Diceros bicornis minor: one gene and its partner. The protein of the gene in region 2 interacts with the protein of the main gene of each other region in a biochemical or structural test. Links are inferred from orthologs where the notes say so. Each region holds a gene or a part of one and is shown on either strand. Other genes may lie near its edges.

What was found.
Region 1: the proteins of KLKB1 (region 2) and KNG1 form a complex in vitro, tested with the Homo sapiens proteins (4 studies listed by BioGRID). The link is inferred for Diceros bicornis minor from reciprocal best matches to the Homo sapiens genes KLKB1 and KNG1.

What each region holds. Positions count from the first base shown.
Region 1 is NC_080754.1:37,316,855-37,333,337, forward strand, and holds the start of KNG1 (kininogen-1), read right to left. Parts: upstream 7,115-16,483; 5' UTR 7,003-7,114; coding exon 6,811-7,002; intron 4,302-6,810; coding exon 4,191-4,301; intron 3,192-4,190; coding exon 3,107-3,191; intron 1-3,106. Other genes in the region: HRG (histidine-rich glycoprotein), read right to left, coding at 10,808-11,728, 12,819-12,920, 14,727-14,807, 16,347-16,483. UniProt on the Homo sapiens protein: Kininogens are inhibitors of thiol proteases.
Region 2 is NC_080768.1:17,716,723-17,732,719, reverse strand, and holds the start of KLKB1 (plasma kallikrein), read right to left. Parts: upstream 7,272-15,997; coding exon 7,166-7,271; intron 2,931-7,165; coding exon 2,768-2,930; intron 1,409-2,767; coding exon 1,302-1,408; intron 1-1,301. Other genes in the region: cytochrome P450 4V2, read right to left, coding at 12,632-12,804, 14,111-14,290, 14,384-14,518. UniProt on the Homo sapiens protein: Participates in the surface-dependent activation of blood coagulation. Activates, in a reciprocal reaction, coagulation factor XII/F12 after binding to negatively charged surfaces.

The DNA of each region.
Region 1 (16,483 bases), on a different chromosome or scaffold from region 2:
CAATTCAATCCAAGAAACATTGTATTTTGCACCTACTGTAATATGCCAGGTACTGGGCTAGGCCACGTGGGCACATTAATAACAGCCACTGCCGTGAAGGGTTGGGCAAAGTCTAGTGGGAGAGACAGACTTGCAGATGGATCATTTCAATATAATGCGACAAGAGCTTGGAAAGCCGGGAGCCTGGAGTGAGCTCAGGGAAGAATTTCCTGAGGAGACGAGGCCTGAGCTAAGAAGAGAGAAGAGTGGTCCAGGACAACCTGGCAACATGAGGTGTGAGGTCTAAGGAGGAGGAACGGATGGCTCCCGAGAAAGCAGGATGAGGCAGGGACAGCAGTGTGGAAGGCGGTGCATACACATTTTGCCAGAGCTTAAAGAGGGAGGCAGGGAGGGGTGACTGAGGTCTGAACAGTCGGTAGAGAGAGTCCTCTGCTGTTGAGCCTGGGCCCCACCCTGGATGCCTGGTGTCGCTAACTATACTTCAAGGGCCATGTACTCCTGGGTGGAGCTGATGAAAGCTATGGTGCCCTCCCCAGGGAAATGCGCATTCACAACGTTCTCCACGTAGTTTCAGGGTGTTCATAGACCCTCTGAAGTGATTTAAGAATGGTCTGCTGTAAGAAAGGGGAGCCACTGAAGGGGTTTTATTTACTTATTTTTCTCGTGAGGAAGAGTGTCCCTGAGCTAACACCTGTTGCCAATTTTCCTCTTTTTGCTTGAGGAAGAGTGGTCCTGAGCTAACATCTGTGCCCATCTTCCTCCATTTTGCACGTGGGTCACCACCACAGCATCGCTTGATGGGTAGTGTAGGTCTGTGCCTGGGATCCAAACCCAAGAACCCCGGCTGCTGAAGCGGAGCACACTGAACTTAACCACTACACCGCCAGGCCAGCCCTGAAGGGGTTTTAATAAAACCATGTAAAATATTAAAAAAGAAGTGAGTTTATATTAAATTACCAAGTAATGTTCATAACAGATAGCCCTCACCCGCTGGTCGGGAGAGGCACAGGCTGCCAGACAGGGAAGGTAGTGAAGGAGTCCTGGGCCCCTTCCCCCAGGGGTTTTGCTGCCCGAGTGTGTAAGATCCACACAGAATGAGGGGGCCAATAGTGTTCTATACACTGTCCCTCAGTTTTGCAGGTCAACACGGCTGCACTTGCAACTCCTTTCTGGCTTTCTCTCCGTAAGTGTGTGTGTCAGGAAAAAGATTTGCTAGGTGAATATTCACAGCTTTTCCCCTCCTCTCCCTGCAGAAGTTATGTTGAACCAGGCTAACAGGCAAAGTCAAAAACATGGAGGGTTACATGGGAAAGGAGGAGAATTACTGATGGAAGAACCAAAAAAAAAAAGATGAACACAGGAGGGGCCAGCCTGTGGTGCAGCAGTTAAGTTTGCGCACTCCACTTCTGCGGCCCAGGGTTCGCTGGTTCCGATCCTGGGTGTGGACATACTCACAGCCCATCAAGCCATGCTGAGGTGGCGTCCCACATAGAGCAACTAGAAGGATCTACAACTATGACATGCAACTATCTACTGGGGCCTTGGGGAGGAAAAAAAAAGAAAAAGAGGAAGATTGGCAACAGATGTTAGCATGGAGCCAATCTTCCTCAAAAAAAAAAAAAAAAGATGGAACACAGGAGGTGAAAGATGAGATGGAGGAAAGACCAGAGTCTCGTTTGCCTGACCTCCAGGGCAGCTCTGACCGGGGCTAAGAGAAGAGATGAAGCAGTCTTTTGAGGGTGAGGGGAGGAGGGTGATGGAAAGTCAGTTTTTCTGGGTGACAGAATGATTTTTCACCCTGCTCCAACATTTCTAGAGGGATGATTTTTAATTAAAACAAAGATTTAAAATGTCAAATTCTGAAACACATCTGGCCAAATCTGGGTTTCAGATAAGGGATTGTGGACCTCGTAGTAATTTCTGAAAATATGGCAAAGGGCTTTTCCTCTCGTAGTGTAGAAGTGCTGTGTTCTGGATACTGTTAAAATCTGCTTATGAGATAGAGTTATTAAACTGAATAATGAAAAGCTACTCCAAAAATTTTTTTTAAATTACTTGTGATTTCTTTTCCACTTTTCTTCGACTACAACTTCTTGCAAGAACTGGAACTCAAGGGATATAGTTTTTGTGGGCTCTATACGGATGACGAAGGCCAGAATGGAACAACTGCCACTACGGTGAGGTTCAATAGTGTGACTGAGATGCTCTTATGGAGCCTCATGTACTAAAACCCTACCTTGCAGAAGGCCAGTTCTGGGACGGCTTTTATGATTGACATCACCTAGATGTGCCCATTCTTCTGTAACTGGCACCTCTGCCACAAAAGGGAAGGAGCTAATAGTGCTTATAGTTGGTGATAAGTTGCTCCATACTTTATTCTAAAGGAATTTTGTTTATTGAGGGTCTGCTATACCAACTCTGCTAATTATTTGCTGTGGGATCTTGGGTCAGATACTTAACTGCTGTGGGCCTCAGTTTCCTCATCTGTAAAATGGGGATATTAATACTTTCTTCATAGAGTTGTTGTGAGGATTAAATAAGTTAATACATGGAAAGTGATCAGAATGTGGCTGGCAATAAGAGCTTAATAAATGTTAGCTAGGATTACTTTCATCCTGATCATCATTCACACATTATGATGATTGTACCCTCAGGCATATCATCTAGTTTCAGTCTATAACAATCCCATGAAGTGGGAATTACTGTTATCCTCTTTGATAGATAAGGAAGAGGAAAGCCAAGCAGGTGAGGAGCTTTGAAAGATTCCAGGCCAGGTCCGACCTCAAAGCCCGTGCTTTCCTCACTCTAGGATGCTGCCTCCAATCAAGGCAGTTTTTGCATCTACTCACCTTTGCAGGGCCCTTGCACACACCTAATACAATGCTGCACTCGAGGAAGAGAGTCAGGATAGGGCTGAGGGGATGACTGGCACAAGCCTGGCCCCAACCTCCGGACTCTGCGGCTCCACCCTCCCAGCCCCCCGCCCCCAAGGCTGCAAATGGCACCCCTATGGCTGCCCTCTGGGAGGGGACTTGGTCTGGGTTGTGTTCCTGGCACACAGAAATGATTCATTTTTTCCCCTCCAGCCACCGGATGGATCAGCTACCTGGAGTAATCTGGCAGGTTTGGGTAGCCACGGAGAACCTCATATCCTCACTCTTCCTTATGGTCGCTGTGCATTCTCCTGTGGCCTAAAAAGAAAAAACCGGAGACCATTTACCTTAATCTTTCAGGGGGAGAAGTCCACCTAATACTCTTGCTAAATATGGTTTTCCTTTTTTTTTTAAATTGTCAAGGTTTTTTCTAACAGAGTTTTGAGACACAAGAATGAATGTTTTTGTAGCCTAATGATTATTTTTTAGAATCCATTGATATTTGGGAGATGTTGGAGGAAGGGCAGTATAAATGGTGAGGTTTTAAAGCGTGAGTCTTTGTTTTGAGCCCTGAACATATTTCTTTTTCACCAAAATGTACACAACGCCTTAGGACCAGCCTGCCAAACTCTTCTCTTGATTTACCTGTCAATTTCAGTGTTCAAACTGCGTACACATGCCGGTGTTTTGACATTAAAGAGGTGATTCCATGGACTGTGAAACATGTGGCTTGCTTCCTGGCAGATACCACCTACAATCTCCCTTAATTAAGGCGAGACAACCAGCTGTGGTGTGCCAGGCACATGTTAGGCATCTGGTTAAGATAGCCACTGTTATTAAAACAAGGTCCTTTGCATAATGGATCATTTCATTCTCCAACAACCTCATCTCCTGATGAGGTCAATTTTAAGTCCCTGTTATAAGAGAGCACAGGGTTCCCAGTGGTCAGCTAGTTGGAGGCAGATGAGGATTTGTACTCAGGCCTGTTCAATTGAAGCACTACACTCTCCCCTCACCAGCCTCGATCTCAGCCCAAATGCTGATCTGTTGTCTCTCTGGGGCCTGGTCCACATGTCCCAACTGGTCATTAGAGTCCCCTTCTTATGGGTGGGCTTACTTCATGTTTAACCACTGGCTTCTCCACGCCTTTTCTCTCTATGCAGAATACATCAAGCATTTGACTTGTCTACACATTTGAGGGTTTATGTGCATCCCTCACAAACAGACTCAGCAATATTAATCACCCCAAAAGCACCAGTAGAATAATCTAGCAGGCTCGGAGAAAATTGGAGGCTCAGGAACTGTCAACATACTTACAGCTTGCTCAGAATCTTTGTAGTCGCAATCCTGCCAGGTTGTGCCATTTCCAACAGGACAATCACCCTCCTTGATTTGGTACTTGAAGGAATAAAATGTGTCAGGGTCATCCTGAAAAAAAGCAACCAAAGATACGTAGGGTTCATCCAACTGACCCAACAGAAAATCATTGGAGTGGGATCTGGTGCAGTTATGAATATTTGATCTTGATTTGATTCAATTAAGGCAAAACATTTATTAAAAATCCTGAAAGTTATAAATATTTACTTGGAAGAATGTTCATAATATATTTACAAATACATATATTTTAAGTTACAAAGTAGTATACATAGTATTAGCCCATTTTTAAGGAAACCAATTTATATGTAAATGTATGATTTTTAAAAGTCTGGAAAATTATGCAGCAAAGCTGTTAAAATGTGTGTCTCTCAGTGGTGGGAGTACAGTTGTCTTTCACTTCTTTATACCAACATTCCAGAATTGTCTATTCTTTTTAACAAACATATATCGTTTTTACAATTAGAAAACAAAGAAAAAGAGAGCTTTATTCATTTTTGAAAAAAATGTTAACAGTTGTTTCTGGACAGTGGGGATAATTATGGGTAGTTTTAGTATTTTTATTTGCTTTGTTTGTTTTCTATTTATTCTAGCATGTCATGAAATAATATACAAAACTCTTAAAGTGCGAAGGTGCTGACTTAGATGAGCTTTCAGATGCAAAATCCTGGCATGTCGAGCAGCAAGGGACCTGAGAGGCGATGCTGTCCAGCCCCTCACTTTGCAGGTGAAAGAAAGGAGGCCCCGAGTAGATAGGGCACGGCTTAGGCAGCCTCCCCACCTTGGAAAGGCAGAGCCAGCCCCAGATCACAGGTCTCCTGACTCCCGAGGCAGTGCTCTCTTAGAGCCTGCGTGGGTCACAGTATTTGCATCCGAGAAATGATGGTGTCAAACAAGGTAGTCTCTGAGGTTCCTTCTAGGTCTCAGATTTTGATAAAGCAGTAGGTGATAGTGGTATAGGTGGTGCCTACATGGCAAAAGCAAAGATAAAGAGTGATTCTCCAGACCTTTTAGAACAAAAACCACATTTGCCATGGATGTCAGCCAATAAAGACAACAACAACAAACTGTGGCTTGACAGCACGAGGACTCACATGACCACACTAGTTTGTGAAACAGAATGGCTCCATTTTACTTTCAGAAAAAAAAAAAAAAAACATGTCCACTGGGCTTCTTTCTTTATCCTCATCATGTCAAATGGGGGGATTTTTTTCTCTACCAAAGTAAACAATTGCTTAACTATCACAGAGATAACAGTGTTTTACAGCGAAATTCATTTAAACAAACTGTTGAAAGATTAGTATTTCTTGAAATCACACATCCTATCAAGATTTGTCTCCAACAGGAGTGCATCAGTCAGCGAAAAAAATATTAAAAACCAACTAGAACATTGCTGTCACCTTTGATGCATTCAGCTGTGCAGACTTCACAGTAGATATTTTGTTTGATGCAGTAGAACCATGGTAATCTCACTTCTGACTCCTCTTAGATGTACCCCCCTCCCTTTCCCCTAGCTTTATTGAGGTATAATTGACAAATAAACATTGCATGTATTTAAAGTGTACAACTTGATGATTTGATATATGTATACAATGTGAAATGATTACCACAAGCAAGCTAATTAACACATCCATCACCTCACATAGTTGTGTTTTTTATATGTGTGGTGAGAACATTTAAGATATAGTCTTTCAGCAATTTTGAGTATACGATACAGTATTATTTTTATTTTTTTTTAAATATTTATTTATTTATTTTCCCCCAAAGCACCAGTAGATAGTTGTATGTCGTAGTTGCACAGCCTTCTAGTTGCTGCATGTGGGACGCGGCCTCAGCATGGCGGGAGAAGCGGTGCGTCGGTGCGCGCCCGGGATCAGAACCCGGGCCGCCAGCAGCGGAGCGCGTGCACTTAACCGCTAAGCCACGGGGCCGGGCCCAGTATTATTAACTATAGTCACCATGCAGTACATCAGATCCCCAGGACTTATTCATCTTATAACTGGAAGTTTGTACCCTTTGACCAACATCTCCCCATTTCCCTCACCTCCCAGCTCCTGGCAACCACCATTCTACTTTCTGTTTCTGTGAGTTCAACTTTTTTAGGTTCCACATATAAGCGAGATAATGCAATATTTGTTAGACGTGCCCCCTTAAGCACCCCTTCCCCACCCTAGCTCTGGAGGTCTTTATATTTCAATCTAGGGCCAGTCACCCAGTAAATCCTCTTGCTGCAGCCTGACTGAGTTCCTGGATTCTCCCACTCTGCATAGTCTCTTTCAAATTACTCCATCTACCCTTGTTTCATTTCACCTTGGGATACTGCTCCTCTGATCTCCCAGGCTGCTAACCTTGGTGGCCCAACCACTAGTCATACCGTGCCCTCCACCCCCAGGCCGGAGAGTGGTGTCAGTCTTTTATAAGAGCTGTAAGCTTCTTCCTTTAATTATCAGTTCTTTGGTGATTGGCGTGTGCGTGTGTGTGTGTGTGTGTGTTTGTGTGAGGTCCGGGCTCTGAGCGACAGCACAAATCCCAAATGACCTCAAGGTTCAACCAGCCCACTCACCGTCTTGGTGACCTCCATGACGCGGTACAACACAAACTGGTAGCCACTTTGTTTCCCATTGTTATATTTCTTCAGAGCCGTGTCCACAGCCTTAAATACATCCTCATCATTGCAGTCGATTTCTTGCAAGGACTCCTGGGTTACACTTAGTAGCAGCCTGGAGCAAAGGAAAATGATGGCAATTAATTTCATGACTTAACAGTCTCCCTTTGGGAGTTTCACCAAGAATTGGGAGCCAACTTGAATGCTGATTTTAGCGATCTCCAGCCTCTTATCTCCTCTGCGCTCCACTCTCTGCCTCAGCGCTCTGGGGCACTGGTTGGATTCCTGCTGCCGTACACTATTTGCCCTATTCCAAAAGGACAAATGGCTCTGCTGGGTTATCCAAGAAGATTTCAGGCTGGACTATTACAACACAGGGGTCAGTGACCTGCTTGTTTGCATTTGAGAAGCATGTGGGTGCACAGAGCACATTTCCAGGTGATTGCACAACTTTGTATAGCAAATCAGAGCAGACTCTAATAAAGGAGGAGAAAAAAAAACACCAACCACCTCTGTCATTGCCTTGTGACTTTCCCAAAGTCATTTACAAAGGTCACTACAAGTGACAACAATGCAACAATGAGTACCATGTGCAGACACCTTTCAATAAAATTCCTTTGCAGGATGTCTAGCTGCAGAGAAGCAGGCTGCTACCAATCATATTGCATGCCTGGGGAGCCCATGCACAGGGACACAGTGAGTCCTGTGAGTCCTACACCAGGACACTGGTGCAACTAAAAATAAAATATGGGCGTCCTATCTGGTCTCTGGCCAGGCCAGTTTCTTTCCACTCAACTGTATTAGTTCTAGAAAGGAAAATGCTCCCCAGGGTAGAGGAGACAGGGGAGAAGCATAAGAGATGGGTTGAGTGAAGCCCCTTATCCTCTGTCCTTGCTTCTTGTTTCTGGTTTGGTGGATATGAGTGTCTTTCACTCATCAAGCCTAAGCAACTTTTCTGATCAAGTTAGACTGTTCGGGGAGAGGAGGTCTAGGGTAGCCCTTAGTAGATGTTTGCCCTCAAGTCTAACCATCCCTCTCCTGCAAAAAAAGACGTTTGACTGCTTTGTTGTTGTTGATAGAGTCTCTTGCTTTGCCATTCAGTCTCCCTGAAAGCCCCTGGAAAAGAGGGATCACTGTGGGCTAAATGGTGGCCTTATAGTGGAGTGGCAGAAACATGAGCTTGCCAGTAAATCCAACCTGGATTCCAATCTAGCTGTGCTAATTAATTGCTATGTGATCCTGAGCAAGTCAGGGTCATGTAACCTCTCTGCTTACAGTTTCCTCATCTGTAAAATGCAGAAAGTCATAATGTCTCATCAGGGTTTTTTGAGGAGTGAATGAGATAATATATGTGCAGGGCCTGTTAATTAGTCCTCATAAATTATATCTAAACTTAGAGTGGGATGGTTAATCTGCAACTTACTAAAGCAGTTTCAGGTCATGGTGATGGCAAAAGGTAGATTCCAGTGTGAGTTCAGGGAGGTGGAGGGCTGAGTATAGGGGGGAAAAAACACAAGGGTGGAAAAGACTTGGGTAAATTCTTAGGCTGGGAAGAAGGAGGGGCCCGCAAAGACGGGGAAGCTGAATCTGGGAGAGTGAGGGCCTGACTGACAGTGCACGGTGCAGACGGAGGCGGAAAGGAACACAAAGCTGATCATGGTGGGCGTTTCAAGTGAAGACTCAGAAACAGGACTTGGCAGTGTGTATAGGCAGGATAATCAACAGGAAAGAAAATGACCTGGGAGGAGGCCAATCTGGGTTCTAATCCCACAATTTACTAATTCTAACAAACATTCATATACTTTTTAGCTGTCACGTAGCAAAAAAATCTAGAAAAGGAGCAATCAATGGTATGTTGTCGCAACCTCTAGTACAATGTAAGCTCCCCAGAGTAGGAATTGTTTCTGACTCTGTTATTCACTTGAGGCAACTGTGTTTGCATATTACGAACGCATTTAATTGTAATGAATTGAGAGCCTTCAATCCTATATTTTCCAGGTAATATTTTCAATAACTCAAGCAATGTTTGTGAAAATACTTTATAAATTATAAAGCACTACTCAAATGCTTCTGTGACTTATTAACCTAAGTATTTTTTTGGTCTTCCCAGATTTCACCTTTCGCGGTTCCCTGTTCAAGGAGTCAACCCTGTATTCATGTGGAGGAATGTGAGTCTGCAGGGCGACATTCAGCTGGTGCCACTCTGGTTGTTTATGGCTGGCGACTGTCCTGACTGGTTGTTGTATCTGGTCTGATGGGTCAATGCTTGTGACATATTGGTTATTAAATATTTGGAGTGTCATCATCATGGCTCCAGGAAATGAAGTCTAGCCATACTCCAAAGAGGAAAGGGAAATGGGCCTCCACCGTCATCATTTTTTAGAGAAGGAAAATGAGGCCCAAAGAGGCTTAGTAACCTTCTTAGGATCTGATAGTCAGTAAATTGTGGGACTGGGATTAGAATCCAGATCGGCCTCCTCCCAATCATATTCTTTCCTGTTTATTATCCTGCCTATATACACTGCCAAGTCCTGTTTCTGAGTCTTCACTTGAAACACTCGCCGGGATCAGCCTTGCATTCCTTTCCAACTCCTTCTGGACCGTGCACCATCAATCACATCCTAACTTCCCCAGGTTTAACTTCTCCATCTTTCTGGACCCCTCCTTCTTCCCAGCCTAAGAACTTATCCAAGTCTTTCTCACCCTTAGTTTTTTCTCTACCCACGCCCCCCACCCCGGAGCCCCGCCCCACTAAAATCCACCTTCTGCCATCACCACACATCTGAAACTGCTTCAGTAAATCAGCTAGAGAGAACCTGAAGTCTTTTTAGACTGTGTCTGAATGCTTGAGCCCTGATTTGGGAAGAAGGGAAAATAAAGAGGATTAAGGTGTAGAAAAAGAGTCCTCTAGCATCAAAAATGAATAAAGAGAAGTTATCTGAGACTAGAGAGCCCCTAGTCTGGGAAGAAGAGATGAAAACAGAGGAGTCTGGGGGTCCCGAAGCAGAGGACACCTCTGCCCTGCTTTCTGGACATGTAGCATGGAAGGCAGATGATCTCGGGGAGAGAAGAGCTATATGGTATCTCTTGGCAGTCACATCCGTGAGCAGTTTTACAGGGACTCATATATCCCCAGTTTGATACATAAGTAGCAGATAAACTAGACCCAAAGAGCGATGTGAACAGGGTAGTAAGCAGGGGGCCCTTGTGGACCAGTGATGAAGAATCAGACCTCCTTCTTGTGCCCGCCACCAAACACCCTGGCACTGTGTGAGAGTCTAGAACTGTGACATAATTTTGTGTGGGGAGTAGCAGGGTGGGGGAACTCCAAGAAGGACTGAGAGTGAGTTTCCCGTTAGCCCAGTAGGATGGCAACCTGAAATAGAAATTAATTTGTTCCTAAAATAAAGCGATATTTCCTGTGCACCTGAATTTGTGGTCATGATTCATGCCTACAACCTTCTTTGCAATTTATAACCCAACTTTTTTTGCCTCATAATTGAATTTAGAACTGATTTTTCAGAAAGGAAATTTGGAGGACTAGAAATAACAAGTAGGAGAGAATATGGATCACTTTTATAAGAATAATCTTTAAGTGATAATATATACCTTCTTGTTATGCCCAGCTACAGTATAAGTACTAATAGAGGAAATACTCTAGAACTAAGAGTTAAGTCCAGGAAAGAAAGAAATTCTGAGGCTCAGAGATTTGCCTCAAGAGATGTAGTGGCCAGTGAGAGAATTATCTTCTGACTTGTATCACTGAGATCTTTTCTCTCCTTTCCATTTGTCTCTCTCTTCTCATGCCATCTCCTCCCCTACCCACATTTTGCCATATCCTGAGTATGAAAAAAGGTTAAAATAACTTCTAATTTTGCATTTATTACTGGTCACATTTTATTTATGGTTCTAATTCAGAACATTATTCATTTTTACCCATCAAGGAAATCAGATTTTATTTTGGAATAGTAGATGCAAAAAACTCTGAGACTTGTAGAAACTCACTCTTAAACTTCCCTGGACATGATTCAGAGGCTGATTGAAGGAAGGGCTGAATCTCTGGCTTTAGAGGATCCTTGTGGTGTGGCAATGAGAAGCTGGGAAAATTGGCTTCAGGAAGAGGAAGAACTTCACCTTTCTTTAGTGGAGGGAGTCGGTAAACATATCCAATTTGTCTCCAATGGAAGGGAAAGTGTCCTTTACCTGGACCTCTTCCTTCTGGGTGCCTAGGTGGGGGGCCATGGCCCCAGTGAGGTGGTGGGTCACAGGGTCCATGGTCATAGAAACCATGGCCATGGGGATGGTGTCCATGGTGATGGTGTCCGTGATGAGGGTGTCCATGGGGAGGGTGTCCATGAGGAGGGGGTCCATGGGGAGGGGGTCCATGGGGAGGGGGTCCATGGGGAGGGGGCCCATGAGGAGGGGGCCCATGGGGAGGGGGCCCATGAGGAGGGGGTCCATGAGGAGGATGTCCATGGGGAGGGGGTCCATGGGGAGGGGGTCCATGGGGAGGGGGTCCATGGGGAGGGGGTCCATGAGGAGGATGTCCATGGGGAGGGGGTCCATGGGGAGGGGGTCCATGAGGAGGGTGCTCGCCATGGTTATGAGGAGGTCCATCTGTCTCACTGGTGCCAAAATGGGGGTGATGACATTTTGACCCTGAAGGAGGCAATAGTGGAGGAGCTCCTGCTTGAACTGGTGGTCTGTCTGAGTAATCTTTGCCTTCAACAGGAGGTGGGCATCCAAGATCATGTGGATGGTTATCCCTGAATCCATTTGGCTTAAATGGAGGCTTGCCAGCAGGAGAATGCTCATGCCCACCAGAGTGGGGGGGATGGCCCAAATGGGGTCGTTTACCATGGATGTATCTATGTTCCTAGTAAAGGACACAGAAAAGTGAATATTATCATGCAACACAAAAGAAGTTAGATGTTTAACTTGATTTAGACCAATGGCTTCCAGACTTTTGGATTCCCCAAATCAATTTTAAAAGTACCAAAAAAGGGTTCTCAATTTTTATCTAGCCAAGTTGGCATTTAAAATACAGACAAAAACTATCACCTACCACCATCATTATATCACAAAAGGAATACTATTTTGACAACACAAGAGTCAGAAAGATAATCTCAGAGTAAAGGATGGTCCTTAGATGGAATAAATGTTATATTATGAAAAACTTTCTGTATTTTTCTCATTTCAAAATAAAGTGGTGAAACTATATTATGGAATAGCACTCATCTGTAGACCAACATTTGGAAAACTAGTGCCTTATAATTCGTATTCTCAACAGAGTCTGAGGCTTTGTGATATAAGCGTCTCTTATTTCTAAAGGTTGAGCACTTCACCCCTTCACTTTCCTCCTTGTTTAGATTTTAATATTTTAAAAAACCTAGGGAGCCGTGTTCATGGTGACAAAATTGATCCCTTTTTTTTTGGTTTGGCACATGGACGTTTGAATTATTTTAAGTTTTTTTGCTGATATAAAAAAATAATGTGAAGAATATTTTGGTATAGAACAAAGCTTTCTGGGACAGATGTAAAATGTTGTTTTGCATCTTATTTTATATACCTTTATAAAATAAATTTGGGGCTAATTCATTTCCCTTAGGTTCTAAGCCTAATAATAAAAGCTAAGAATTATGAAGTCGCAGCACTGGAGTCCTGACTACAAAGGCCATTTTCAAATTCATTAAAGGTTAGCTGGTCATGACTTTACTCTTCTGCAAAATCTTACCCCTCCTCAATTCTGGAAAAATTTTTATACTTTTTGTGTCACACTAGAAATTGCACTCCTTTCCCCAGGGTCCTACTGTCTGTATTTCTCCACCCACCCCATCTCATCTCTCTCTCTCTCTCCTTCTCTCTCTCTCACCCACACACAGAACCACAAGAACAAAATACACTATGTGTGTGAGAATATCACTTAGGCTGGCCTTGCTCATGAAAAGGCTACTTAGGTAACCTACCTCAAAATTGAAAACTTCACAGTTGACGACAATGTCTTCTGGGGTTTCCAAGTCAGAGACTCCTACCTCATAGGACAAAACTGCTCTGCAGAAACCAAAGACCTATAAAGAAAAGAGAAGCCTGTTAGTGTATGTATGTGTGTGTATGTGTGTGTGTGTGTGTGTGTGTGTGCATGCACAGGTGGTGTGAAGGTGCCCAGCTAGAGTTATGAACTTCCAGACATTTGGGAAAGGAGAAAAACTTTAGAAAAATCTGGGTAATATTATCAAATATCTCCACCAGTTATTTAACAACCTTTCCTAGTCAATACTATTGGGAAAGTGCAGGTTCCAAAGCGTTTCATTACAAGTTGCTGTGGTTCTCTTCCCCCAGTGACCACCAGCACCGGGCTTCCCCACGGATGGTAGTGAGGAATACCACGTCATTGATGCCTTGCCTTTAGGCCAACCCTTCTGCACTGAAGACCTGAGTTACCTGTGCCTAGAGAGAAGGAAGAGTGGTATAGGAGAGGATTTGCACAACTTTAACCCATTCTTTGGAGGAAAGTATTGGAAAGAAGGGAGCCAGTACAAAGAAGGTTTGCATGGACCCCATCAAAGTGACCATCAACTGGCCCTACTCTAAGTATAGGGGCTACAACTAGCTGGCAACCCTGTGCTCCAGAGGCCCCTAAACCCAGCTGTCAAAGTTAGACTAGGACAAGAAGAAAACTCTTTGCCAGAAGAGATTGTTAAGTGGTTCTGAGTACAGTTTTGGAGCCAGACAGACCTATGTTAATCCTCGCTTCACCATTTACTTGTTGTGTGACTTTAGGCAAGTTGAAATTTCTAAAATTTCTGAAACTCAATCTTTATCTGTAAAATGGGTGTAAAACTATCTGCCCACAGGTTGTGGGAGGACTTAATTAAATGAGATAATACTGTAAAACAGTTAGCACTGAGATGCCTCTTCTCCAGCAGCCATGTTTCTGCACTGGGTTTTCATTACCCGTGCAAAGATATTTAAGTGTTTTTTGGGGATGGGAAAGGGGGAGGGAGATGTCTTTTGTGGTAGCCACTAAGCAGGATCCTAGAACTGCTTCAGATTGAAAAGTTGAACAGCCCAAGAATGAACTAATGAATGCTTCCTCTCTTCCGACCCTGAAGAATGTGCTGTTAAACTTCAGAAAAGTCCTGGACTCGAAATCAGAAGGCCACCATTCAGATCCTGTGTTCTAACACTTTCTAGCTAAGTGCCCTTAGGCAAGTGGTAAAATGTCTAGGCCCTCCTGTCCCAGGGAAATGGGGGCAGACACTTGCTTCTCCTCAGGGGGGTTGTCACGGGGCTCCAACGAGGCAATAATGTATGTGAACGTGTTTTGTAAACTATCGCCATAAAAATGCTGAATATTATTAAGATCTTATTGCAGGTTCTTGAGTATCAATTTATAAATGATTAGGGGGAAAATTCCAGTGGGCTGAGAACAGGAGAGCTGAATTCTAATCTCAGCTTGGTTGTGAATATGGGCAAGACCCTTACTTTGCTGAGCCTCAGTTACCTCCCCATTTGTCACATGGGGTCACTGAGAGGAGTAAACAAGATGCAGTGAATGAAAGCACCCTTGGGTGTAGGTTCTTAATATAAGCTAGTTATCAGTTTTAGCAAAGTCTTTAATCCTAATGGGTTTAGAAACTTAGTTTTAAGTTTAGTTATATATCATGTATATTATAAAATCATATTCTCATGATTCACTTAACTTTTCTGTGCCTTAGTTTCCCCATCTGTAAATCAGGGATAAAAATAGTATCTACCTCATAGAGTGGTGGTGGAGTTAATAAGTTAACATAAGTGTAAAGCATTTATAAGTGTGCCTGGCACACAGTAAGCACTCTCTAAATGTCACTTAGTATTTCACAGACATTACTCACCTTAGAGGGTCTGGGAAAATGGTGAATGGAGCAGTTCCTCACAGAGAAGTCCACATAGTAATTGGTTCTTTCCCCTCCTCTCTGGAACAGATTGGATCAAAGCAGTTTCAGGAAGATGAAAAGTGCAAAAAAAAATTTTTTTAATTGATATCTACTATCTAATATACTGTAAAGTAATGTGAAGATTCAAAATCACCAATATGTGCCATTTTTCTTATGGTCTCTGCCTTTTTAAAATTTACCACGTAATAAGGTGAATACTATTTCATTGAAAAGTTTCAAATAATACAGACATAATCAAGCATAGTGTGAAAAATCACCCTTCCTGCACTCCACCTTCTCCTTCTCAAAGACACTACTATCATCTGTTTGATGTGTTTCTCTTTCTAGTCTTTACCTAAATATGTTGCACATATACACATATATCTGATTATTTGACATAAACGGGCTCATAGACTAAATATTGTTCTGTAATCTGCTTTTTCCCTCTGCAATATGTCTTGAAACTCTTTCTAATGCATGTAGGTCCAAAACATTCTTTTTAGTAATTGCACTGTATTCACTCCATTGCTTGTATGCACCATAATCTATTTAACTTTGCATTTTCAAAATGCGTGACACACGTCAACTAGCTGCTCTGCAATACCACTCTGGGTGGGAGGTGCTTGGGTCCCTGGACTGGGAGGTAGGAGAACTGTCTAGCTCCAGCCACACCACTGGGTATGGTGAGGTAGTTACTCTGAGCCTCAGTTTCCCATCATAACACAAGGAGGTTAGGACCAGATGATTTTTTTTTTTCTGCTGAGGAAGATTTGCCCTGAGCTAACATCTGTGCCAATCTTCCTCTTTTTGCTTGAGGAAGATTCACCCTGAGCTAACATCTGTGGCAATCTTCCTCTACTTTGTATGTGGGTTGCCGCTACTGCACGGCCACAGCCAAGTGGTGTAGGTCCACACCCAGGAACCGAACCCAGGCCACTGAAGTGGAGCGTGCTGAACTTAACCACTAGGCATGGGGGCCTGCCCCAGGACCAGGTGATTTTTAATGACTCACATAACCCTAATATGCTCTTCTATCTTTCTCTCTTTCTTTCTTTTCTTTGTGTGTGTGTGTGTGTGTGTGTGTGTGTGTGTGTGGAAGATTGGCCCTGCACTAACATCTGTTGCCAATCCTCCTCCTTTTGCTTGAGGCAGATTGTCCCTGAGCCAACATCTGTGCCCATCTTCCTCTATTTTTTGTATGTGGGTTGCCACCACAGCATGGCTTGACAAGCAGTGCAGGTCTGCACCTGGGATTTGAACCCACGAACCCCAGGCTGACGAAGCAGAGCACACCGAACTTAAACCACTATGCCACCGGGCCAGCCCTCTTTCCCTCTTTCTTGATTGTGGTTTTCCCTCCCCTCTATTCACACTCCCCACTACTCCAAAAAATAAAAAACTGCAGGAGGGCAGTTCTTTGGTATTTGCTGCCTGTCTGTGGAGGCTGCAACAGGTGCCTCAATTTGAGAGGCAGCTGCCCAAATGAGGTCGGTAGAAAGCGTCAGTGCTGCTGAGTTTGCGCCTGCCAGGCTGGAGTCTGGGCCCTCAGACTCTAGCTGGACGTGAGTGGAGACTCACCGCTCTGGCTACTCTCTCCACTTTGTCCACTCTGAAAGAGGCAAAATCATCATTCTCCCTCTTGTACTTCTCAAGGGCTTTGTCAGCTTGTTTTTTGTAGAGCTCAGTATCCTCAAAGAAATCGATGAATACGGGGC
Region 2 (15,997 bases):
CGGTCCTGAGTTAAGAGACTTTACATGCCTGGAAGCAATAGTTCACTTTAATTTCACTTTAATGTAAGATATTTGGGGAGAGCTAGAAGAGAACATTAAATCAAGTTCTGTGAGTAGACTAAGTTTTGGGGGAAAAAATAACTAAGGTGTAATGAGAAAGGCACAATATTATTTTTTCTTTAAATTTTACTATGATGCCACAATTGAAACTAATGCTTAATTGAATAATTTACACTAAATTTTATTAAGATATAAATTTGATCTTATAAAATAGAAAATGTACTCCTTCCTAGGTAAATTACATATTGGCTAAGCCAGGTCCCCCTGTTTATCACCAAGGACTGGTTACTATACAAACTGCAGGCACGAAGTGTGTGTATGTATTGAGGGAGTGGTGTTAATGGGACAGGAAAGGATGAAAAATTTTAAAAACATCTGAAATTTAATCCTACAAAATTAACTGTATATAGTAAGGGTAAAATAACAATGATGTATAGTGATAACATGGTTATTTTAAGGTTCTGCCAACCCATCAATTGAGAGAATCTTTTCCGTACTTTTTACTCTCAGATCAGTCACATTAGAGAAATAGTTCATTTGCCTTAAATTTATTAGAATAGGGTTGGAAATTGTTTCTCAAGACGTTAATAGCAATAAGTGTCAGGATTAAAGTTTCCTGGCCTCCTAATCCTCATATATTTTTAAGTATTATTCTTCGCAAGATTTACAAAGCCCAGTCCTTCAGCATGGGAGTTTAACAGGATTTCTTAACCTCTGCACTCCTGACATATGGGACTAGAAAATCTTTGTTGTGGGGGCTTCCCTGTGCCTTGTGGAACATTTAGTGGCATCTCTGACCTCTATCCACTCGATGCCAGTAGCATCCCCCCAAGTTGTGACAACCAAGTGTCTCAGGCATTGACAAGTGCCCCCTGGTGGAAGGACAAAATCACCCCTGTTTGAGAACCACTGGTGTACAAATCACCTTCAAGTGAAACAGAAAGAGAGAACTCTCTGTGTTCTCTTTAAGATTCTTATCTGGAATCAAGGGGAGACTATTGTTTAGATGGGTATTCACTTTCTGCAAATCTTACCTGTAGTGCTACCCTCATAAATAATAAAGGCTCCTTAAGTGAGTGTTGATTGATAAAAACAAGAGGATATGTCCAGAATATTGCCCCATCTCTGTTCTTTCTGAGGGCTCCCTTCCAAAAGTCCATGACAGTACAGAGTTTGAGCAGAAGCTTTTCTAAGGCAGACTCCTCGTTCATTCAACTTTAGCTAAGAAATCCACATCTTACCGCTTATTTTATGTCCACATTGCTTCAAGGAATGTCCAGAAATTGCATTTTTCCGTGACATTTTTGGCAGCGTTCCCGTAACACTGTCTTTCATGAAGCAACCAAACCTGTTTTTAAAAGTAGCTTCACTTAGGAAGTGAAATAAACACACATTGAGGAAACATCTAGCATTTTTTATGCACTAATAAATATAGGCGGGAATAAGGAAAATAATACAGCTTCCCTGACATTTGCCGGAAAGAACATTCTTAGAGGCTATTCCATAATATCTAACGGTCTTTCAGTATTGTTTTCCTATACATTCACATTTTTAAGTACAGGAAGTCAATCATATTAAAGAGTTAGTGATTTTTCCTGTGTTCCTAAACTTTTGGGGAATTTATGTTCCTACTTGGTGATTGTTTTCATAAATACTTTCACTTACTTATGAAATTAAATCAGTCATGAGAGTGGATCTATATATGATGTCCATCTCGTTCACTAACTCCTTCTAGTCCACACCTAATGGAAGACTTCTTTCTGTCTTTCATGTCAACCTCAGTGGTAATTTCATTATTCACAAGGATTCTAGAACCTAACTCACCTTTTTCCTTAAAAAGTTGACATCTCTCACATACAATCTGGGTTTTCTGTACAAGTTTACCATGTAGAATCAAGGGATGGTTATCTAATTCCTAGTTTTCAAATTCAAATAGAGTGAAGATAAAAGAAAAGAATTGTGGATATAGAAATGGAACAATGAAGAAACACTCATTCTGGATATTGATCAAAATTAAAGAAAATGAAACTATGGCTGTATTTAGGCAACTCTATGACCTAATAAGATTTTTCATTGCCAATTATTTTTCCAGTGCTCTTCCTTTTCCAAATTACCAGTTAATAGTCTATATTCACAAGTGCACACACACGTGCACGCACATCACGCATATCATAGGTGCTCAAATTGGCTCACTGTAGGCACCATTCAGACCTGCCCTCTCTCAGCATCATAAGCTCTGGATCTTACTCAATCATATTCTCAACAAAATGCTTACCTTCTATTATATTTTCTTTGGACTGTGCTACCCACAAATGTGATCATGAGTCAGACAACAACTATGCTTCCTTGTTCAGGTGAAATATTCACTTGTTTTTAGACCTTTTCTTGAGACAATCTCTTAACCCAATGATTTTCTAGCATTTTCCTTGAGGCCTTGGATAGAAAATGACTATCTTTTACTACTTTAAGTGAATGCAGATATTTTTTAAATGCAGATTTCCAATCCCAAGAGTCTTTCGTTCAATAGGTCTGGGCTTCCACCTAAGGATCTGCTTATGTAAGAACTACTCCAGGTGATTCTGATGAAGCTGGTCCTTTAACCCCATTTGAGAAACATAACCCTGCGATATGCTACACTTTTTTGCACACAACTGATTCCATTTTGAAAAATGACTAGCTTCTCCAATAATGAAATATCAACTTTTACCTTTTGTTTGCATCATTGGTTGAATTTGCAGGAAGAAAACTGAACAGCAAACACCTAGGATGGAACGTGCACATCATCTGACAGTGTTGGGCACTCGGGGTGAAAATAGCAGTTACATCCCCACCTTTGAAGAAGGTGTTTTCATATAGTTGAGTCAGGCATCCTATGATGTCATCATTGAAAAAAAAGACATTAATTTGGGAGGAATGCAAATAATAATTTACATTATCAGAAAAGTGTCTGTGTTCTGAACCTTTTTACTTCCTCCATGGAATACCCAAAGATCTTTATGACAAGACCTTAATTATACAGGCAGAATGAAACATATTAAGGTGACTATTTGAACAATGTATGATGCTCAAGTCATTTTATGGGTACTTCTATATAAAAAAAAAACTTGGTTGATTTTTATTAAATCATACAATAATTTGCACACAAATTATCCCCAAGAAAATGAAATCCTAGGGCCGGCCCTGTGGCTTAGTGGTTAAGTCCTCGCGCTCCCCTGCTGACGGCCCAGGTTCGGATCCCGGGCATGCACTGACGCACCGCTTCTCCAACCATGCTGAGGCCGCGTCCCACATGCAGAAACTAGAAGGATGTGCAACTATGACATACAACTATCTACTGGGGCTTTGGGGAAATAAAAAAAAAAGGAGGAGGATTGGCAATAGATGTTAGCTCAGAGCCGGTCTTCCTCAGCAAAAAAAAAAAAAAAAAAAAGAGGAGGATTAGCATGGATGTTAGCTCAGGGCTGATCTTCCTCACGAAAAAAACAAAAAAACAACAAAAAAAGAAAATGCAATCCTAGCTTGGTTTCTCCCTGTTGCCTAACATGCAATGAAAATATCATGCCTTAAAAATAATGATGTGTGATCTATTTTTCAAAACACTTTCATAACAAGCATCCCCACCAGATTCTCACAACAGCTCTGTAAGGGAATCTGGAGACAGTCTTTATTATATATATCTGACTTTTTTTTTTAGGAAAGAAGTTAGGTAACTCAGTCTCATGGCAGCACACACTTGCCCAAGATCCACATGGCCGGTGAATGTCCTGGAACATAAACCCAGCTCTTCTGACTCCCCGTCTTGTTCCGTTTCCTAGTGTGCAACGTTGTTCCTCATCTCAGTTGAATGCAAGCAAACTAACAGTTATTGGTATTTATTACTTTAGGAATGAGTGCAGAGAAACAAGTATTCTCTCAATTTCTACAAGCTCATTTTTCAGACAGCTTAAGCAAAGGCATGCATACACCAAATTGAAGATACATTCTGAACTACATATTTGCTGTCTGGAATTGTTCATAGCTCTAAAGTACCCAGCATCCTACATATTATTAGAGTGTTAAGTGTTACCTTTACTGTTATACTGAATTTGAGTTAACCTTGAGAGACTCACTTCAAAGTCTGCTTAATAAGCTTTTCCAACTCAGATAACACATTCGCTTTACTCGGTCAACTGCCCGTTAATCACAGGATATTGCAATGGCAACCTCATCCATGCCCTAGGGCAGTAGTGCCACTCCAATTTTAATAATACCTATTTTTGTATTGCCTTTCAGAGAATGGGCAGCTTGGATACGTGTATTTCATTAAGCCCTGTTGATTAAAACTTCCTCTGAACTATTCCACCCCTCTGGGGATTTTGGCCCTGAGCCCTCTTATGATGACCCAGCCCAGCAAGATTGCTTGTCCTTCTCTCAAAGGTGTGGCTAAGATGACTAACCCTTGGGTAAGGTTTATATTTGGAAAGAGCAGAGACCTCTTCAGGTGGAAGCTTCTGGGAATACAAGTTGCCAGGTACACAGGCCTACATTTCATAAACACACAACATACCGAGTACCTGGTCCGGTGACAAGGCTAGCTGCAAAGTGGCTTGTGTTTTAGACAACCGGTGTTTTTGGCTGATTCGTGATGATCAAGCAGCCATCCTCCCCCACCTCAATTCACAGACATGGGTACAAACAATGGCTGGGGCTAGCCTGGGAGTTCCCATTCTGCAACTGAGCCTTGATGAACTGCCATGTGATTCAGCCCAGGAGAGGAGTAACTAGAAATACAGCAACTTTGGAGCAGACTGGAAAGAAAGTTCTAATAGGTGTTCTTGCTTAACCTCATAAGCTGGTACTAATGATGATGATGATGGTGATGATGATAGGCTTGTTTGTATTGTATTCTAGAGTATATGGAAAACACTGTGACATAAGTTATCTCATAACATAAAATATGCTATATCATGTCACACAAGTCCTTATGTCCATGGACCTTGGCAAGTTATTCAGTCTTGTTAAAAAGATCATATAATCAATAAAGAGAAGAAAAGGAATCTAATTTTTTAAAATTGGGCGAAGAATATGAAAAGGTAATTTGCAAAAGAAATAGAAGCAACTAATAAGCATATGAAAAATGCTAAGAATCATAAACACAGGCAAGTTAAAATTTAAAATTATCTAAATTACCAGTGTCGATGTACTGATTTTCATTGCAAATAACAAAAAAAAAACCTAGTTCAAAGTGACTTGAATACAAATGAAATGTATTGGTTCAAAGCCAAAGAGCTGGGGGTGGATCTGGCTTCAGAAATAACTGGACACAGTGCTCAGCGGATCCCATCAAGACACAATTTTCCTTCATACATTTGCTCTATTCCATGGGGTTGCCTTTCTCTCAAGCTCCATGTAGTGGAAAGACAGTGCCCGAAGCTCAGGTCTCAGCATTCTGTCATAGTTCGAGTTCACTTGAAAAAAAACAATAAAAGAGTCTTATTTCTAGAAGTGTAAGCAAAAGTCTTATTGCAAGGCTTTGGCTCTGATGAGGTCAATGCAGCCAGCAAGATGTGTGCCTTACTTACTGGTTCAAGCCTGCCTGGGTCACAACCACATGGACCAAAACTGGGAGGCAGCTGTTTCTCAGAAATAAATTAGGATACTGTTTCCAGAAAGGTGAATATATGCCAGGCTACAAAATAATAAGTGACTATTGAGTTGGCCTAGGTGGGGTAAATGATCACTCTCATCTACTAGTGGAAAAAGTCAACTTGGAAATTACCTTTTTGGAAGATAATTTCATGTTGTATGTCATAAAACCTTCAAAAATATTCACACCTTTGTATCTAGTATTTTTATTTCCAAAATTTTATTCCACAGAAATAATTCAATATGTGTGTAAGAATGTGCATGCAAAAATACCATGCATAGGGAAGAATACTAAGCTCCAAAAAATATGATATATATTTATTTGCATGAAAAGGTAGCTTTAAATGGGAAACGTTATAAAAAAAGTATCTATAATTAATAATATCTTTGTTACTTGTGTACATCGATATGTGTAGAAAAATATCTGAAAGACTAAACAAAAGATTTTTAACAATGGCCATTTCTGTATTATAGGACTACAGAAAATATGTAGTTTCTCATTTTCTGCTTATTTGCACCTCTAATTTTCCTAGTGTGATCATGAAATTTTTTTTTGGCCAAAAGAATAAAATTGAAGTAGCCATGGTCCACAGCATCTCTGGCTTCTACTTCTCAGCATTCAATGGATTTGTAAATGGTAATGATTCTGGCGCAGAAGAGCAATTAGGAATGAGACGACAGATGGAGGGGAGTTGCAGTTTAGGGAAAAAAAAAAAAAAGGCTTCTTCCTGAAGAAATTGTATCTCTTTACCAATGTAACCCTTACCCAAGAGGTGTTTCTCTTAGCCATACATCTGAGAGGTAAGTAAACAATCATTGTGATGTGGCCATCTTAAGTCAACATAGACTCGGAAGCCACCCATAACGGTGACACGGAGAAAACTCCACTCTGCAATGATTAACGAAAAAGAGTGTCCAGAATCCTCCTTATTCTCTGAAAATTTGATGGAATGGATAGACAGAGAAATACGATCAAAACCTGTTGTTGAAACTAGAACTATTCAAATGGATGACTTCCAAATTAAATTGAAACCAGGTATTTTTATTTCTGAAATGGTTCCCAGTGGCCTAAAAGAGTAAAAATATATGCTTTGTACCTATCACTACACTTGGGTTAGACCCAGACAATATAAAATGCCTAGCACTCTTTTGAATATTCAGATAAAGCTGATTTTTTTTTTAATGTTGATAATAAAAATGGAGCGCCGATTGTTTCAGGATCTGCTTTGTACAGAGCCACTTCCAAACAGAAGTTTCTGGTAACACATGCCTGAAGACATTCTCATTTCTGGGGTCTTCCCCCTGGTGTGTCTAGGGCGATGCATCTGAGAAGTGGTTGTTGCCTCCAAACATTAAAAGGATGTGTATCCTGCCTCCTTCCCAAGGCTGTATGTTCAATAGCTTTCTCCACGGGTGGCATGCCTTGCTTAACTCTCTTCCACACACCCTTAACTTTATGTTTTGTAGATAATCCACTCACCACAGGAAACTGTAGCAAACAAGCAAATGAAATAAGCTGCTTGCCTGAAGGAAATCATCCTAAAAGAGAAAGCACTGCATGAATAACTCTGCTGGTTATAGATCATATTTAGCATGAACTTTAATTTAAGATGATAGAGATTTTCTTGTAAATGTCTGAATTGCAAATCTAAGCACACAATTACCAATTCTAAGAACAAGGGTTTTCTGTACATTTTGTGCCCAGGGGCTTGGCACCAGCTATAAATTGAGACCTCTAGACTGTTATTATGTTTGTTGTTCATAAGCCACCTGTATTGTCAGTAATTGGTTGAGAGGGATTAAACAGCTGTAAAACCTCTAGATTTGAGCAAAAAAAAATTATCGTAAATAATGGCAGTGACATCGGTCCAGAATCCCTAAGTAAAAAAAAGCTTTGAAACCATTGAAGCTCATTTTAAATTTTTAAATGAGTTAATATTCTCTTTGCTTTTAAAATATATTACACACAAATATTTCCACACGTAAGAACATAATTTTTTCCACACTTTCTAAATATGCAAGAAATTAGAACATAAATTAATCCTTCTTCATAAAGTAAAAACTATACTTAATTTTTTAAAAAAACACGCTATTTGGAAGAAATCAGAATAACAGAAATTCTCTACCTGAAAGCACAATTGCTTCCGTGATTCTGGACAGAAGAGTCTCTTGCCACTTAAAAATGGACGATCTTCAAGCTTTCCTAATGTGGCACCACAGGCACTGTTTGCTTGGCTCTGATATTGACTTTGGTTTTCTGCCAACAGTTTCAACTTTTTGTCCTCTCAACATAGTCTATGAACATTCCATTCCTGTGTTCAGCTATTTAATATACTAACTATTTCACATTAGGGCCATACAATTCATCCACAGGTTTCCATTTTTTTAAAGGTTCATAATATTCCCAGTTATTTGGGGTCATGCAAATTAAATCTCATCTCACTGGACTTTTTCCATTATAATCACCAAGATGCACAACTGAATAAAGTCGGGGTATGGATAGTTTACCCTGGAAGGATCTTCTGTCCAATAGTATCTATGCCCTCCTATACCACAGACAAAGAATCTTGCAACATGGAAATTTTAAGTATGGAAGGGAGTTGGTTGATGTTTAGGTCCTCCTCCCACCCAATTCAGAAACTATGATGTAGCAGGGGTTGACAACCACAGTCCACAGACCAAATCTGGCACTGTTTACAAAAACAGCGCCTGTTTTTGTAAATAAACTTTTATTGAAACACAGCCATGCCCATTCATTCATGTATTATCTATGCTTGTTTTCACCTACAACTACAGAGATGAAATAGTTGTGACAGAGACAGTGTGGCCTGCAAAGCTGAAAAGATTTACCATCTGGCCCTTTTCAGACAAAGTAGGCTGAAATTTGCTGTATAGCACTCCTGGCATAGATACTTAGACTGGAAAGAAACATACTGATTTTCCCAGGAGCCTGTTCCTGCTCAGGGAGTTCTATTTTGTTTTTAAGAAAAAGCCTTTCTATATACTGAAATAGACCTCCTTGCAACTCTATCCTTCAGTCCTAGATGAATTTACTAGATCCACACAAAATAATTTATTCTTTTTGTGCTTTTTCAAATAGTTAGAGACCATAATCATTTGCCCACTAAATCTCCTTTGTTTTCGAACCATTCTTCAAAATTGTGATACATTGTTCTGGCTAGCAAATTCGATTTTTAGGGAGTTGATTTTTAAATATTTAACGCACGTTACTGCACTGCGGAACTATTTTTATTAAAAATGTAGGATAATGTTGTCAATAAAATATTTTTTGACCGTAATGAAGTAACATATTTCAAATATGCCTGCTGTACTGCCTTTTAGATTCAGAGTATCGACTGGTGCAGCAGCAGTCAACAAAAGGCAGTCCTCTGCCCTGTGCAGTATACAAGAATTTAAATTTTGCATCTCATCTGCTACCAGCCTTGACAGGAAAAAAAGATGACTGAGATGAAACTACCCTGCCTCCAAATCATGGCAGAAACGCTCAGAGATTGTTTCCCTAAAAGGTGAGATTACAGATTTTAACCTATTTAAACATACTTCTGTGTTTTGTTTGAATTTTTCTTACAGTGAAACCATAAGTTATGTTCTAGCAATACACTAAAACTAAAAATTTCCTTGTGGAATCAGAAGAACTAAATCAGAATTAAGTTGAAAACAAGCAGTGGTAGGCAGAATTCTAAAATACTCCCCAAGATTTCCCTCTCTAATCCAGGGGACTGAAGAAAATGAGATACCCTGTCTTTCCATGATTATGTTATGTTACACAACAAAAGCAATTTTGCAGATGTAATTAAGGTTACTAAACAGTTGACTTTGAGCTACTCAAAATGGAGATTATCTGGGTGGACCTGATCTCATCACAGGGGCCCTTAAAAACAGAGTTTCCTGGGGCCAGCCCGGTGGCATAGTGGTTAAGTTTGCAAGCTCCGCTTTGGCAGCACAGGGTTCACAGGTTCAGATCCCGGGTGTGGACCAATGCACCACCTGTCAAGCCATGCTGTGGCAGGCGTCCTACATAAAATATAGGAAGATGGGCACAGATGTTAGCTCAGGGCCAATCTTCCTCACCAAAAAAAAAAAAAAAAACCCAGAGTTTCTTTCTGCTGTTACATAAGGAGAAGTCAGAGAGATTCAAAGTGTGAGAGGGATTTGACAGCAGGCAAGCTCTCCATTGCTGGCTTTGAGATGGGTAGAGCCTGGGACAAGGATCTGCAGTGGCCTCTAGGAGAGAGGTTTCTGGCCAGGAGCCAGAAAGAAAATGGAGAATTCAGTCCGACAACCACAAGGAGCCGATTACTTCCAACAAACTGAATGCACTTGGAAGAAGATTCTTCCCCACAACCTCCACACCTTGATTTTGGGCTTGTGAGATAGATACTAAACAGAGAACCCAGCTAAGCCCACCTACTGACCTACAGAACAGTGAAATAATAAATTAGTGTTGTTTTAAACTGCTAAAGATTGTAATAATTTGTTAGGCAGCAAAAAAACACTAGGATAGAAGGTAACATTTATCTGAAGTGACAGTGGCCTGGAGAGAGGGGTTTGGAGCTGGACACTTCTGAGGTGAGGGAACGAATGAGAGTCCCTAATGGAGCCTGGGAGCTTGGGTGGGAGGATGTGCCACAGGCAGGGCAGAGATCCGGGAGCTTTAAGAGAACCTGCGGTTTTCAAAAAAAAGGAAAAAGCCCTGATTCTCTGATGAAGCTGCTGTGTGGCCAGGAGATGGGCCCACCAGGAAAGAAACAGATGAACAAAAGCTATATTGTACTGCCCATTAAGGAGCGAATGCCAGTTCACTGAGAAAGGTCTTTGGTGGTGCCTTTATGACCATGAAGGATTTCTGCTGTTTGCATCTCTAGATCATTAAATGTCCCTAAGAAGGGTAACACTTGAGGCTCTGCTCTTTCCAGTGCATCTCAGTGAGAATTATAGTGTTATATCTAGAATACCACTAAAATTATTTATATTTCAAACTGACATCAATTCTTAGCAAAAAACTAGCACCCATATTGAAAATGTAATTTATTTTTCTTGAGATACCTCTTTCGAGCAGGTGTAGGACACGTAATAGGGAAACAAAAAGATATTTGATCATCCTCTTATTAAAAAAAAATCAACATCTGCATTTCAATACTATACACCATGACATAATTTCTCAATTCCAACTCTGACATGGTTTTAAGTGAATTTCCAATTAAAACATGAATAACCAATTATTCTGGTGCTAAATGAAAATCTTAGGCCAAAAGGGAACATTAAGCAATCTTTTAATTTAAATTTAATTTCACATCTCGTGTAGGGTCACTTCAAAAAAAAGGCAAGGTTTTAATGTTCACGCATAAAATTGAGAAATAACACCGATTTCCATGAATAAAACTTTAATTGTCCAAAGTCATCTGGGAACAAGATTTTCTACATATATACACTTTCTGGGTAACAAAGTTAACCACATGAGGGGAATCTTTTTCAACTGCAACATACACTTCCCTTACTTTTTCTCATCAACTTAGGGACTGGGTTGTCTTCACTGGGTTGGGATCTTTGGGTAAAGTGGGTTGAGCTACTGACCCCGTCCTAAATGTCCCAGCCTGTAGTGTTTGCCAAATGGCTTTGGTTTTATAACCTCTTCCTTTGATATCCATTGAAGAATACATATTCCATCCTCTTAATTTGTTGCTTGCATCTACTATAGCCTTGGGAAAATTGAACAAACAATTTTATCAAATTATTTATTAAAAGAATTTTTTTAAGTCACTGATTGAAGAAGTAGAGATATTGCCTATAGAAGTAAAATTTAGGGAATGTCTATCAGTTATCAGCTTGATAGGTGTTTTCTGAAGGACTGAATTTACTGGAAGCCTAATTCTAAACTAAGTGAGATATTACTGGGTTACTAAATATAGATGCATGGCTTCTCTTTTCCTTTAGATGGAAGAATTCTAGAAGAAATACGCCAAAATCAGAGGCAGAAAATCTGTGTTCTAATGACACATCTAGAGATAGACCTGAGTACCATAAAGCAATAGTATATTATAATAGAAGTGTGTCATATTGGGAGTGGAGAGATTTAGAGTGTAGACTGCTATTCATTTCCAGCCCTGTCACCCACGAGTGGCATAACGTTGCGCAGAATCTTACCTTCTCATTGATCTCATTCCCTCACTTCTAATAAAAAGGGAGTATAACTAGATAAGCTCCAAGGTCCTTTGAGCTCCAAAAGCCATTAATCAGCCCCCTGAAGCACTGTGAGGGACTGGAGATTACCAAGAGGAATCTCTCCCCATAGTATATTACATATAAAGGTAATTGTGATGCTATAAAAAATAAAATGAAGGCTCTAAGTATACAGTCAAAAGGGAAACAGGAACAGAACCTATGAATCAACTTATAAATGATCAACTCTAGGTGATAAAATCTGAAAAGTACCACAATAATTACTCTCATAACTGATGCCACTGATATAATTTAAAAAACTTAACCTCCTTAAGTCTTAGTCCTTAATTAATCACCCTTTTCACATTAAATGTATATGTATATATGCATATATATGTTCCTGAGCCAAGAAGAATACCTTACAAAAATTCTGGAACCTCAATTAAATCATATCCTTTGGGTCTGTCAATTGAAATTGAATTAGCCTGTGGATCCCTCTGTTGAGACACTTGTTATATGTTTATTTGGGTGCTGTCATCAGTTAACTGTACTTCTGGGATCAAGATCAGGGGTAAGACCTATGGTGGTGAAGAAAACATAAAAACTCTCTCCCTGGTAGACTTGAACCCGATGTAAGTGGGGACAAGAGAAAACTAGGTCTAGGGATTAAGAGTGCTGAACTCACGATCTCTAAATTGTAAATGCAAAGTTTCCCTTAAAGAAAGACTTTTTTCATGATAAGCGCATGATAAGTCCAATAATATGGTTAGGATCCATCCACGTTCCGCCTCTTCAACTTGATCCAGATGCCATTACTTGGACGGAGAATCAGCTCTCCTGCCAGGCCAAGTTCTTCTCTTTTCTGGTTGGATTCTACCCAAAAATGCCTCAGGACGCAGGAAAGAATGATCTTTTCTTCCATCAGGGCAAATTTTTGACCTTCAAGTTAATGGAAATACCACCACTTTAATTACAGAGATATCTCAAATGTGAGAAAGTACAGGTTCTATTAGAGGAAGCAAGCAATTTTGTATTTTCACAGTAGGCCCTGGAAGAATCAAAATCACGTGGGATACTTATTAAAAATGAAGATTCTTGGGTGCCCTTCCCCACTCCCAGCCAGAGCCTCTGAATAGCTGCGGTGGGCGAGGAATCTGTATTTTAGCAGTACCCCAGATGACTCCTGGGCTCCTTGAAGCATGAAAGCCACTACTCTGGCTTGATTTCTTATTGGGCCTTTAATTTAATTTACTATAAAGTCACCAAATATGCTTCAGATTCACTCACTTAAATCTGACCTCATTTTACTAATACCTGTATTTACATAAATGATAAAATGCTAAAGATACTAAAGTCAGAAGTGCTTATAATGCATGGTGACGTGCATTCATTTTGTTTAAGTACTTCAGCTGGCCTTATGGGAAGCATTCTTTGTTTTGGTTTTGCAAAATGCAATACGTAAAAGCAACAAACACAGAAATTAGGTTAAATATAACTAATCGTCATAAAGAAATTTTCTACCATATAAAATATATTCTACTTTAATCCAAAATCTACAACATTTATTTATTTATTTTGCTGAGGAAGATTCTCCCTGAGCTAACATCTGTTGCGAATCCTCCTCTTTTTGTATGTGAGCTACCACCACAACATGGGCACTGATGAGTGGTGTAGGTCTGCGCCTGGGAACCGAACCTGGGCCGCTGAACTTAACTACTAGGCCACCAGTAGTGGTGGCCCAAAAATCTACATTTTTAAACCCTACCATGAAACTGATTATGCTTTACATTATGGGTTGAATTGTGTCCCTGAAAATTCATATGTTGAAGTTCTAAACCCCAGTACCTCAGAATGTAACTATTTGGAGATAGGGCCTTTAAAGAGGCAATTGAATTAAAATGACGTCATATGGATGGACCCTAATCCAATCTGACTAGTGTCCTTATAAAAAGAAGAGATTCGGACACAGACACACACAGAGGAAAGACCATGTGGAGATACAGGAGGAGATGAGTCTGTGGTACTTTGTTATGGCAGCCCTAGGAAACTACTATACTTTATGACAGTCATATTTGAAAACAATAATGGATAGTGGAGGAAATAATATAATATAGAGCGGAGGAAAAAGGGAACCAGTTTTTTAAAAGACTGTTGCATATGGCAGACTATACCTTAAACAAATTATTGTGGGAAACCCACTACCATGTGATTCTGAAAGGTCAAAACAATTCTGATGGATACAAACCTATACAGTTTCTGGGTCCAGCAGAGAAGGGCACATATGCATATGGATGGCGTTCTTGTGAGTTCTCAGGAAAGAACCGTTCTGGCTTGAATTCTTCAGGATCTGGAAAGTATCTCGGGTCTCTATGCAGTGCATAGGAAACGATGATTGCCTGAGAGCCTTTCACAATTCTGTAACCTGCTGTCAAGAAGTAGACAACATGCCATGAGAATGGAGCAAGACAGACATTTAAAAAATCCACTCTCCCTATTATTCTGATTATAGAATTCTTACCAACTTCACAATCTTCATTAAGACTACGGGCAAATAAAGGAACAGAGGGGAAAAGGCGAAGGGTCTCCTTCATAACACATTCCAGATATTTAAGCTTCTTCAGGTCTTCCAAGGTAGCAGGACGATCAGACTTCCCTGATTAAAGTAAATAAGTGAGATGAAAATGTAAGAACTATTTGGGCTGGGGGTGGGGGGGCTGATATCAAAGAAGAGTACATTAATCAAAACACTGAATGTTAACTACCTACAGCTAAAGTAGAATTTCTAACAGTATACATAATCGAAGTAAAATGAGACAATATGCTAAGTAAAAGAAACCAGACACAAAAGTCACATATTGTCTGATTCCATTTATAGGAAATACTCAAAATAGGCAAATTCCTAGAGACAGAAAACAAATTAGAAGTTGCCAGGGGCTGGGAGAAGACAGAATGGGGAGTGGCTGGTTCATGCTACAAGGTTTCTTTTCTGGGTGAAAATATTTTGGAATTAGATAGAGGTAACAGTTGCACAACATTATGAATGTACTCAATTGTACAATTTGAAATGGTTAATTTTGAGTTCTCAGAGCTTCTTCCAGACGTGCATCTTCTCTTGGGTCAGATTCTTGAACTTTCCCCACAGTATGCCTCCCAAATGCCCTTCGCTCCCACCTCAAACAAAGAAACCAAGACTGCCTTTGCCCACAGGCCGGAGGAGACATCCACCTCTCTGGACTTGCCGAACGGAGAAAAAGAACAGCAAGAAGCAACAGAAAATAATGATTAAGCACAAAATGAAATAGACAGACTTACCGAACAAGCCAGTCAGGAGATTTTGCAAGGAGAACAGAAATATAACAAACTCTACCAAGCATTTTTTCAGAAGAGGTCAGAATCAGTTGCCAAAATCCCACATTTTGGGGTAACAACATGTGTCAACCACCCCCAAGTCTGCACTGCTTAGGGAGGAGGATGAAGAGGTGCTGCCTTGTTTGACCAGAGTTGAAGTGACAGAATTTGAAGATATTAAATCAGGTTACAGAATAGATTTTCATTCTGATGAAAACCCTTACTTCAAAAATAAAGTTCTCACCCAAGAATTTCATCTGAATGAGAGTGGTGCTCCGTCTTCAAAGTCCACTGAAATCAAAAGGAAATCTGGAAAGGATTTGATGAAACGTTCAAGTCAAACACAGAATAAAGCCAGCAGGAAGAGAGAGCATGAAGAACCAGAGAGCTTCTTTCTCTGGTTTACTGATCATTCTGATGCAGGGGCAGATGTGTTAGGAGAGGTCATCAAAGATGATATTCGGCCAAATCCACTACAGTACTACTTGGTTCCTGACATGGATGATGAAGAATGGGGAAGGCAAAGATGATGGTGGTGGTGATGATGATGACGATGAAGAAGAAGAATGGGAAGATGTTGATGAAGAAGGTGATAGAATGAAGGGGAAGAAGATGATGAGGGCGAAGAAGGAAAGTAGGATGAAGGAGAAGATGACCAATGTTCTCCAGTCTCTCAGAGCAAGTCGTTGTCTTTTTTTTTTGCCCCTCTTGTGCTCAGGCAGCCTGTTCTTGAAGTCTCTTTTCTCTCCTTTGCACCATGGTTCTCAACTTCTTTGAGGGGGAA